Linked DNA regions of Mus musculus. The protein of the gene in region 1 interacts with the protein of each later gene in a biochemical or structural test. Links are inferred from orthologs where the notes say so. Each region holds a gene or a part of one and is shown in the gene's direction. Other genes may lie near its edges. The genes, in order: Cdk1, Pkmyt1 and Cdca5.

Region 1 (3,747 bases):
AGTGCTCTTAACCTCTGAGCCATCTCTTCAGCCCAATATTTAACATTCTTATGTGGAGATATGTCAAAACATTTAGTGTGTTATCATTGTATACATAATGAATACATAAGTGTATAATCACAGAAACAGGCTGGCATTTTTTCTTTTCAGTTTTGAGGGTGTCTTTCAGTGTTTCATTGGTTCCTATCCTCTTGTCTTCTTAAGGTACTTTAAATGTGATCCTTCTGCTGGCTGCTAAAAACTCATTGAAAAAAACATAATCTGCAGGAACACGGGAGAGCTGGAAAATACATCAAGTTACCTGACACAGACATAGAGAGACAGACACTTCATGTTCTTTCTCATAGGCGGATCCTAGCATGTAATGTTCATATGTTAGTGTGTATATAAGGTTCCAACTAGAAAGGAAAGGCTGCCCGAGTGGGGGGGGGGATTAGAGTCATGGACATGGTGATAGGACACAGAGGGCTATGGGCTTGGGGGCGTGCAGTTACGAGGTGCGGGGACTAGGGTTACTGGGAGAAGGGATGAGAAGAATTAACACAGACCAATATTGTCTGAAAATTCCATAGTGAAACTTAATATTATATATATACATATATTAAAGGTGTGTGCCACAATCCTCAGATATATATATATATATATATGTATATATATATATACACACACATATATACACACACACACACATATATATACACACATACATATGTAAACTAATATATTATATATTAATATTATATATTATTTATATTATCCCAGCTTAATATAGAATTTTGAAAGGCATAATCATAAAGTAATTTTAAATGTTAGCAATAGCCAGGTGGTGGTGGCAGCACACGCCTTTAACCCCAGTACTCTGGAGGCAGAGGCAGGAGGATCTCTGTGAGTTCAAGGCCAGCCTGGTCTACAGAGCAAGTTCTAGGTCAGTCAAAATTACACCCAGAAACCTTGTCTCAAAACAAAACAAAATAAAAGTAAGAAACTCTTTTTTTTTTTTTTTTTTTTTTTTGGTTTTTCGAGACAGGGTTTCTCTGTATGTGTAGCCCTGGCTGTCCTGGAACTCACTCTGTAGACCAGGCTGGCCTCGAACTCAGAAATTTGCCCTGCCTTTGCCTCCCGAAAGCTGAGACTAAAGGTGTGTGCTACCACGCCCAGCTAATAACAAGCTCTTGATGTAGTGGTACTGTCACTTTGGTGGCTGGCTATCTAAATTCAATGCATTTGAATTGTGTTAGTCTTGGAGGGAAATTACACACAGAAAGGTAGCTGGAGAAAAAAGAGAATAGATTAGACTGTCCAGAAACAACAGGACGATATTGGAAGGAAAACAGAGCTCAAGAGTCAGTTGGCGCCCGCCCTCCTGCAATTCCTCTGGCCGCGGTTTCCGCTCCCTTTCGCGCTCTGCGCTCCCAGGCAGCCCCGCCCAAGCGTAGCTCAGCTCTGATTGGCTCCTTTGAACGTCTACGTGCAATCGGATTGGCGGATCCCGGGAGCTTTACCGCGGCGAGTTTGAAACTGCTGGCACTCGGCCTCTAAGCTCCTGGAGTTGCTGCGTCCGCGCAGTCCGGAACTGCGGTGTGGCCCCAGCCGGGACAGAGAGGTATGGCGTGAGTCGGACTGGGTGCAGGCTGGGCCTGCGGGGGCTCCACGGGATCTGGGGGTTCCCCCGGGGAAGGGCAGGACATCCATGTGAGCCTGGGGATCCCTTGTGGACGGGTAGGGCCTCCACGTGAGATCTTGGTCTCCTGTGGACGGGTAGGGCCTCACCTAAGTCCGGGATCCCTTATGGTCGGGCATGGCCTCCCTGAGCCCGGGGTCTGGGGTACCCTATGGATGAGCATGTCCTCATCTGAGGCCAGGGTCCCCTATGCAGGAGCATGGCCTACCTGAGCCTGGGGACACTATGGAGGAGCAGGGCTCACCGGAGCCTGGGATCCCTATGGGGGGGGGGGGCAGGGCTCACCCGATCCAGCGGTCCCTTATGGAAGGGCAAGGCTCACTTGAGCCCCGGGTCCTGCGGACGTGCAGGCCCCTACGCGAGCTCCAGGTTCCTGCAGACTGGATGGGCCTCGCTGGAGTGGGCCCGGGTGTGGGCGGGGTGCCAAGTTATGTCCCAGGCCCTGTTGGCTGCCAGTGTGGAGCTGGGCTGCACCAGGCCAGCTGCCTTCGGAGGCCTTAAGTCGGTACTGCCGGAGAAACAGACCCGTGGTCGTTTAAAAAGCTTATTCCTACCAAGGTGCAGAACCAAGAAAGTGTAGGATCGTTTATTTTTAGTTGCCTGTGCTAAGGCCACAGACTGTACCCAGGCAAAGAAGGAGAGAGAGGGAGAACCGCGGATGCCTTCGCGTCCTTGATCGTCTTAAAACATAAATACCGATGAAGGTTCTGATGTGCGGGCCACCATCGCCTGCCCCCAACTTGGATACACTGGGCAGCTTTTAACAGCAGGCCCGGGAGACTGGAAAATGTTGGAAGGAAATAAGCCCAGCTTTCAAGACATGTTAACTCTTTGCTGTCTGTGCAGAGGTGGTTGAAACGTTTAATGCTCTATAGTTATATTAAGTCTCTGTATTGAAGAAAGGGGGTTGGGGGGGGATGCGTTGAAATTTCCTAAACATAATCTCCATAGTTGAGAGTCAATCTTATGTGTCTGAGAATCCCCAGGGTTCAGTGGGATGCCTGGCAGGACCCTTGGACGGGTTTACATTTTCCTTCTGAATTTTTATCTGTTGAGCCGCTGCCTCCTTGTGCAGTGCCAAGAGCTGGGATTCCTGGCTGTGCCCCCACACCCCATGGAGTTGATTTTACTGTGGAAAGAGATCTGTAAGGAACAGCTCACGAGAGGTCAGCCATTCCTTGATGCTCATTCATAAGGATCTTGTCACCCGTGGCAGAGGGCTTTCAAGGAGAAGGCACACCTTTTTCCTACCATTCTTTGTGAGCCAAGAAATTGTTTCTCCCTTGTTCGTGATATTTTTCAAAGCATGATTAGCAAACACACTGTCTTAGCGTTGTTGGGATGAAACACCATGACCAAAGCAAAGGAACTTGGGAAGGAAAGGGTTTAGTTGTCTTGTACTTCCACGTCACAGTTCGGCCTCAGAGGAAGTCTGGACAGGAACCTGGAGGCAGGAGGCCATGGAGGGGGCTGCTTCCTGCCTTCTTTCACATAGCTTGCTCAGCCTGCTTTAAGAACACAGGACCCTATATGCCCACGGATGACCCCACCCACAACGGGCTGAGCCCGCCCCCATCAATCTCTAATTAAGAAACTGACCTAAAGACTTGCCTCCAGCCCCATCCTATGGGAGCATTTTCTTAACTGAGGTTCTCTCCTCTCAAGATGACTTCAGCTTGTGACAATGTGACCTGGCCTAAAGCTAGCCAGCACAGCACAACACCTTCCATTCTTTCTTCTAAGGTGCTTATGGACATTTCTTTCTCTTTGAGTACCTTGAGTGGGATTGTCTGTGGCTGCTTTTGGGAAGCATTCAATTGAATGATTTTTGTTTTTTGTTTATTTCCCCCGAGACAGGGTTTCTCTGTGTAGCCCTGGCTGTCCTGGAACTCACTTTGTAGACCTCGAACTCAGAAATCCGCCTGCCTCTGCCTCCCAAGTGCTGGGATTAATGGCATGTGCCACCACTGCCTGGAGAATTGAATGCTTATAAGGTAAACAGATGCTTTTATTAAAAACAACAACAACAACTGTTATTCCTAGTGGTTGGACTTTACAGTTGTACT
Region 2 (3,647 bases), on another chromosome or scaffold:
ATGGAGGGTGGTTTCCCAGGCTTCGCAGGAGCCTCTTTGCCTTGGGTTCCCTACTTGAGTGGAATAGTGTCCTAGGCACCCTGCAGCCCTTTCTTCTCTGACAGCCTTCCTCTCTAGGACTGAACAACCACTCTCCATCCCAAGATCAAGTACCTTCAAGAGCTACCTCATGCACACTGGCCTCTTGTCCAGGCCTAGCACAGCCCACAGCAGTTCTCTGCTTTCTGCCTGGAGATGGCTGTGCTGGCGCGTCCATGGCTGGGTCTGTCTGACCTGGAGCTAATCCCACACCATATTCCCTAGGCTAGCAGGTTCAAAAGCTGTTCCTCTCCTTGGCTCATCATCATCTTCTTTTCTATTTTTTTAAAGATTCACACACACACACACACATACAGAGAGAGAGGGAGAGGGGGAGGGGGAGAGAGAGAAAAAAGACAGAGAGAGAGAGAAAGAAACTGTCTTCAGAAACACCAGAAGAGGGCATTGGATCCTAATACCAATTGAATGGTGGGAATTGAACTCATGACCTCTGTAAGAACAGTCAGTGCTCTTAACCACTGAACCATCTCTCCAGCCCATCATTTTCTTTAATATGGTTTTAATTTTCCAATTACATTTCTCCTAAAATAGTAGCTTTCCTTTATGCAAGCATTATTGAAAAGCAATTTTATTTAAAATGCAAGCGGCACAGACCCTTTTCCTCTGTAGAGGAAAGCCTGGACACAGCAGAGACACTGTCCGTGGTTTGGGGGACTACCATTTCCTCTTAGCACTGGACCCTGGTCATAGCACATAGGTCTACCCCACCTCCTCTGTTGCTGGGTCTCTGATGCACCGTTGTGCAGTGGACATGCATGTGTCCAGTTAGTTATCATTGCACGCAGAGGTCTAAGGCTGACATGGATTCCCCTACGTTGTGAAATCAGGACAGCATTCTTTGATTGCCCCATCCCCTGCCCCCACATCCTGCTTCTGGGCAACACCTCCCTTCCAGGTGCGCTCTAAGGAAGATGGGCGACTCTATGCTGTTAAGCGCTACATGTCGCCATTCCGCGGCCCCAAAGACCGAACTCGTAAACTGGCTGAGGTAGGTGGCCATGAGAAAGTGGGGCAGCATCCACACTGCGTGAGACTGGAGCGGGCCTGGGAGGAGGGTGGCATCCTATACCTGCAGACAGAACTCTGCGGGCCCAGCCTGCAGCAACACTGTGAAGCCTGGGGGGCCAGCCTGCCAGAGGCCCAGGTCTGGGGCTACTTGCGGGACATTCTTCTGGCTCTGGACCATCTACATAGTCAAGGCCTAGTTCACCTTGATGTCAAGCCTGCCAACATCTTCTTGGGCCCCCGGGGCCGCTGCAAGCTGGGCGACTTTGGACTACTGGTGGAGCTGGGTTCAGCCGGTGCTGGCGAGGCCCAGGAGGGAGATCCTCGCTACATGGCCCCAGAACTGCTGCAGGGCTCTTATGGGACAGCAGCAGATGTGTTCAGGTGAGGCCTGGGTGAGGACTGTAAGAGCCCTTTGTTGGTGGCTGATCAGCAGACAGAAAGGGACTGCCTGATAGAGGAGCTCCTTCCTGGCACAGGGTAGGAGGGCAATCCAGCCTGGGAGGTGCTGTCACTCCCTGCTAGCTGAAAGGTTTCCAGAGTAAGCAGCAAGCCTGCCAGAGGCCCTTTATACTGTAGGCTAGCCGTCTCCTTGCAGCTTCATGGCTGTGCTCCAGGACAGGGAGAGTAATGAGGTGGAGGGACTTGTTAAGTCCACAGTTAACATCTGGGACTACAGCCAGACCCAGGGTTTTGAGACCATACTGGCTACTACTACCCTGCCTCAGTGTATTCTGTTCATCTCTACAGAATGATGATGCCAACCCTAGTAACCATGGAACCATTTGCATGTCAGTGTGGTTCTGATGGGCTAGCTGCTTGAGTGTGGAGTCCATACTTCAAGGTGTCCATCTTGACTGGTGCTCACTGGCCCTCCAGGGCTCTCCTCAAAGCTCCTTACCCCTTTCTCACTAACTTTATGGTTTATGGTAGAAGAGAACGGCCCTTTCCCACCAGAATGCTGGATAGGATTGGGATGTGTGTCACAAAGCTGACTCTGCCTCTTTTTGTCTTCGCGTCCTGTCCTTCCTAGTCTGGGTCTCACCATCTTGGAAGTGGCCTGTAACATGGAACTGCCCCATGGTGGGGAGGGCTGGCAGCAGCTGCGCCAGGGATACTTGCCCCCTGAGTTCACTGCTGGTGAGTGGTTCAGAAGAAGAGCCAACTATCACCAGCTTCTGGCAAGGGGTGGTGAGTAGTAGGGGGCACCATTGGACTAAGGGCCCAGTCAGTACCCTGCCCCGACATGGCCCTGCCTCATCGGCAGGTCTGTCTTCTGAGCTGCGTTCTGTCCTCGCCATGATGCTGGAGCCTGACCCCCAGCTTCGAGCCACAGCTGAGGCCCTGTTGGCCTTACCCATGCTGAGGCAGCCACGTCCCTGGAATGTTCTGTGGTATATGGCTGCGGAAGCCCTAAGTCGAGGCTGGGCCCTGTGGCAGGTAAGCCTTTATGGTGCTGGGCTACCCTACCCGTTCCTTGCCCAGGTGACCTTCCTGGCCTCCTGAGGCTCACTTCTGAACTTACTGTATAGATTACTGTTGTCCTTGAACTCATCATATTCCTACCTCAGCCTCCCAAGTGCTGTGATTCATCACAAGGCTTGGTTTCTGAGGCTCATTCTTTCTTTAGGCCCTGGTCACTCTGCTCTGCTGGCTCTGGCACGGGCTGGTGCATCCTGCCAGTTGGCTGCAGCCTCCAGGCCCACCGGCCACACCACCTGGCTCTCCACCTTGCAGCCCCCTCCTGGACAGCACCCTCTCCAGCAGCTGGGATAATGACAGCATAGGGTGGGTGGTGTGTGTGTACATCATTGTGGTCAATGCGAGGGGTCTCGGGGCCCCTGTCACACTCAGGGGACAAAGACTGCCAGTGTAGAGGTAGATGGTGGTCTGTGTAGGCAGCTGTGACATTCAGTGCACAACTGCAGTCCCCACCTCTGTAGAGGCTGTCCCTGTTCAGAGATAAAGTGCTGTCTTCCACTGAGTGGACACCTCCCAGCACCTGGTAAGTCCCTGTCCTGAGAGGATTCCCTTGCTCCCAGGTGTCTGCTAGCCAAGGGAAAGAGTGTATAATTAAGAAACGGCTGCAAGGAGGAACCTTATGCTCTCAGGATGCCTCCCATTATAGAAATATCCCCTCACTCTGACGGCTCGTTCTAAATGCTAGAGAAGCTTCATTTACCAAAACTCCACACCCAGCTCAGTTGGACCTGAAAAGGGACAGAGTTAACCCATGAATGTGGTCAGGCGGGAGAACTTGTCAGCTGCCAGTGTTTATTTCAAGTGTGCCTTGTCCCTTCACCAAGCAGAGGCCTGAAACAAGGAGGAGCAGGGCTGTTTATATCCTACTTTGCCCAACCGTCACCACCCTGCTTGTCCTCTTTCTTGTAGTCCCTCACTCTCCCCAGAGACCGTCCTGTCCCGGATCACTAGAAGAACCTCTACCCCTCGGGGCAGGTACATACCTAGGTGAGCAAGCCCGGGGTCTAGGCTTGGGCACGGTTTTCTTTAGGATCCAGTGTCTTATTCTTTTTTTCTTCTTC
Region 3 (3,747 bases), on another chromosome or scaffold:
CCCAGCCACAGCTCATAGTCATCTCTAGCTCTCCCAGACTGGCAGAGCAGGAAGGAGAAGCTCTAACTTTCAGGGAAGATTCTAAGGCCTACGAAGAGAAAAGGCTTGCTGAGGCTTTATAAAACAGGACGGTACCTAAAGGAATCAGGATCTGAGGCTCTGACCTCCACGCTTGAGGGACTCACTGTCTTGCTTCTTGAAAGATGCTATCAAACCTGTATCCAAGCTGGATCCTGGGGCTGCCCTGACCCCTTCCCAGGCCTCACCATAGCAAACAAGACGGGTGGTCTCCCGACTGGCCAGGGGTGTGTTGCACAGGCGGCAATTGGGGTTGTAGTCACTATCTTGTAGCCACTGCAAGTAGGACTGCACGATGCACTGGAGTGGGAGAGAGATGTCACAACTGGTGCCCCAGGCTCCACGATGCACACACCACTCCAAGGCTCAAATGCCTCGTTTTCTCTCATCAGACTCATCATTTCATCTGTTCCATTTATTGAGTGACCATTTATTGAGCAGCTACTGAAGGCATAGCAGAGCGCATCACACCCCATGTTCTTGCCCTTGTGGAGCTTACAGTCTAGCATAGGTCCCCACATGGATTTAGAAGTAGGCAATCTTGTCTGCCCACCCACCCGCCCTGCTCAGACACTGCTCTAAACGCCCCACCTTGGCGTGATTGGCTACTAGGCAGTGCTCGCAGACGTTAACTCGGTGTTCGAAGCAGAACAGGTTCGTCACCTTCCTCTTGGGGCACTTGCAAAGTCCCATGACCGATCCTGGAGGGTGTGGTGGGGTGAAATCAGTTAGCAGGAAGCCAGGTTTTGGTGGCTGCCAGTTTGTTTTCACCAACCCAGTTCTCTTCTTTTAAATCTCTCAGTCCCGTCTCACACCAGTCCCAACACCAAATTCTAGCATAATGCCTTAGCATGGGTAAAGCCACGTCTCCTGTACAGATCGTACCACAAACGACCGACCCTTCATTCCATCAAGACCCAGGAAGGCCCTCGCCAGATCTCTGCACAGCTCCAATACCACCAGCCCCGCCCCCAAGACCCACCCCCTCTTGACCCGCCCCCAGCTGGCCGACCACATTCTGGATGTCCGCGAACCTCCGCGATGCCGATCGTGACCGGTGCGTACGGTAATGAAAAGCGCGGAAGGCCGGGGACTGAGCTCACCAACTCCGGTAGCTGCAGCTCCGCTCCCTTCAGGTCCGGCCTGATTATCCCTCCGCTGCCACGTCTCTTCCGGGTGCGGCGCACGCTGATGACGCCACAGCGCCGCAGGATACGCCTCTGCCTTTTGCTAGCTAGACGTAAAGCCTGTGACAACAAAAGCGGATGGTCCGCCTCCGGCCTGTGTCACTTCCGCTTTCTCGCTAGCAAGGCGGGCAATTTGAACGTTTGAAGCAGCAAAGTTCCCGGTTGGCGCGAGCCTGAGTAGGCGACCGCGGCGGAGACTGAGCCCGACCGTACACATGGCGGAGCGGCGAACACGATCAGGAGGGGCTGCCCAGCGGTCTGGTGAGCACGGGAGCAGTGGAGCGGGGTTGTTTGGGGAACAAAACTTGGCTCCCGGTGGAAGACGCCCCAAAGGGGTAGTTGGAAAACGACTTTTGCTTTTCCGAACTCGTCAAGCATCTTGTTTCGTTTGTTTGTCGCCTTTTCTTCGAGCAAAGTTTTGCTCACCATCAAACGTGTTTTCCTTTCCAGGGCCCAGGACTTCACTTACTAAGCCTTCGAAGTCGTCCAAGCGGAAATCTGGCTCAGATCTCCCGAACTCGTTCTCTGAAATCTGGCCGAGGGTGAGTTCCTGGTCCCCCAGGTGTTGGGGTTGGGTTTGTGCGCTGCGTATTCAGATGCTAATTTCTATGCCTAGGTATCCTTAGTCCGGCTAACTAGCACCTCCGGGCTCACTGTTGTTTTTTTTTTTTTAAATCATCTCTGATTGGTTGATAAAGAGCTGATCAGCCTATGGCTGGGCAGGAGAGGACAGAGGAGGCGGGACATCAGCGCCCATTGAGGCGTCCGGAAGAGTCTAGGGAGAGAGAAGTGGGAGAGGGGGAGGCGCGGAGAGAGCAGGTGGTTTCACTCTAAGGTCAAGAGGAGGGAGAGAGCAGTCATGAGGGCACACATGGACCAGATTGAGTCAGAGTAAGACTGAGATTCAGGTAGAGGACCGTGTGACTGGTAGATAGGCAGCCTGAGAGGGTTAGAGTAGCTCAGAACCTGCCCAACATAGTGCCAGCAGCCTTTGAATAACAGCTCTGTGTCCTTTACTCAGGAGGTAGTGGCGTTGGGGGGAAGAAATGCCCTGCAGTTATTTGGGAGCAAGGGAGTCAAAAAACTCCCGCCCAATGCTTCCACAGTTGGTGCCCAACATGGTGCAAGAACTTACAAACTTAGAACCAGGCTTAGAGGCTGAGAAGTCTTGGATAGAAGATAAGGAAAACTTTTCTCAGCAACACCCCCAAAGTACTTTTTTTTTTTTTCCTCGAGACAACGTTTCTCTGTATAGCCCTGGCTGTCCTGGAACTCACTTACTTAGTAGACCTGGCCGGCTTCGAACTCAAAGATCCACCTTCCTCTGCCTCCCAAGTGCTGGGATTAAAGGCGTGCACCACCACTGCCCGGCTCCCAAAGTACTTTTACACTGACCTAGAGGGCTTTGAACTATTGTAAAGCTCATGGATAATACTTTCTTTTACCCCCCCCAGACAACTCCAGCGGTCCCAGTCAGAAAGGCCATCGTCTTGAAGAAGATCGTAGCTCATGCAGTAGAGGTGAGGGGCTGAGAGAAGGCTTTGGGAGTGAGATGTCAAAACTGGGCTTAGCTATTGATTGATCAGTTGATGTCATCCCTACAGGTCCCAGATGTCCACACGGTTCGAAGAAGTCCTAGGGTGAGTTCAGTTCTGTTTATTTCTGTTTATTTGTGTAGGATTTACCCTTAGAGGGTAGGCATACACTTCTACCCAGGCAACTGCTTCATGGCTTGTCAGTTTAGGTCTCAGTGTATAACACTGTTTCCTGAACTGGAAGTTACGGTAGACCAGACTGGCCTCAAATTCATAGAGATCCACCTGCACCAGTCTCTGCAGATAGATTCAAATCTTAGAGATGGGCATGCTACCAGGACTGACTGTAGTTACCAGTCTTGTTTCCTGCCTATGGGTGTCATTCATTTCTTTTTTTTTTTGGGTTTTTTTGTTTTGTTTTGTTTTGTTCCCCAGAGCTGAAAACCACTGAGCTAAATCCCCAACCCCAACCCCTCATTTCTAGTTCTTTATGCTCTGAACATTCTCACTATTTTTCTTAAAAAGTTATGGTTTAACCACTGGGCTTCTGTAGACTGTTTTGCCACTGTTTTGTTGTGATGTTGTGATGGCGCACGCCTTTAGTCGCAAGATTTGGGAGGCAGAGGCAGGCGGATCTCGGAGTTTTAGGCCAGCCTGGTCCACAGAGTGATAAGGTTGTTTTGCTGAGTGTTTATTTATGTTTTGTTTGTTTGTTTGTTTGTTTTATGGTTATAGAATGAGTTATGTGTAGGGGCTGGAAAGATGGTTCTGGGTAAAAGCAGTTTTCAGATTCCATCAGATGGACCCTACACACCTACAGCTTCAGTTTGAGAGTATCCAACGCCCTCTTCCGGACACATGCATACGCAGTGTAAAAGGTGCTGGGTGCTGGTGCACACCTTTAATTCCAGCACTCAGAAGGCAGAGGCAAGTGGATCTCTTTTGAC

The links.
Region 2: of the proteins of Cdk1 (region 1) and Pkmyt1, one has a biochemical effect on the other in vitro, tested with the Homo sapiens proteins (2 studies listed by BioGRID and IntAct). The link is inferred for Mus musculus from reciprocal best matches to the Homo sapiens genes CDK1 and PKMYT1.
Region 3: of the proteins of Cdk1 (region 1) and Cdca5, one has a biochemical effect on the other in vitro, tested with the Homo sapiens proteins (2 studies listed by BioGRID). The link is inferred for Mus musculus from reciprocal best matches to the Homo sapiens genes CDK1 and CDCA5.

Annotation. Positions count from the first base shown.
Region 1 is NC_000076.6:69,350,692-69,354,438, reverse strand, and holds the start of Cdk1 (cyclin-dependent kinase 1), read left to right. Parts: upstream 1-1,526; 5' UTR 1,527-1,603; intron 1,604-3,747. UniProt on the Homo sapiens protein: Plays a key role in the control of the eukaryotic cell cycle by modulating the centrosome cycle as well as mitotic onset; promotes G2-M transition via association with multiple interphase cyclins.
Region 2 is NC_000083.6:23,732,829-23,736,475, forward strand, and holds part of Pkmyt1 (membrane-associated tyrosine- and threonine-specific cdc2-inhibitory kinase), read left to right. Parts: intron 1-104; exon of another isoform or gene 105-994; coding exon 995-1,488; intron 1,489-2,137; coding exon 2,138-2,244; intron 2,245-2,371; coding exon 2,372-2,544; intron 2,545-2,734; coding exon 2,735-2,892; intron 2,893-3,357; exon of another isoform or gene 3,358-3,495; coding exon 3,496-3,573; exon of another isoform or gene 3,574-3,647. UniProt on the Homo sapiens protein: Acts as a negative regulator of entry into mitosis (G2 to M transition) by phosphorylation of the CDK1 kinase specifically when CDK1 is complexed to cyclins. Mediates phosphorylation of CDK1 predominantly on 'Thr-14'. Also involved in Golgi fragmentation.
Region 3 is NC_000085.6:6,083,683-6,087,429, forward strand, and holds the start of Cdca5 (sororin), read left to right. Parts: upstream 1-1,414; 5' UTR 1,415-1,480; coding exon 1,481-1,526; intron 1,527-1,715; coding exon 1,716-1,807; intron 1,808-2,719; coding exon 2,720-2,785; intron 2,786-2,869; coding exon 2,870-2,905; intron 2,906-3,747. Other genes in the region: Zfpl1 (zinc finger protein-like 1), read right to left, coding at 267-378, 670-771. UniProt on the Homo sapiens protein: Regulator of sister chromatid cohesion in mitosis stabilizing cohesin complex association with chromatin. May antagonize the action of WAPL which stimulates cohesin dissociation from chromatin.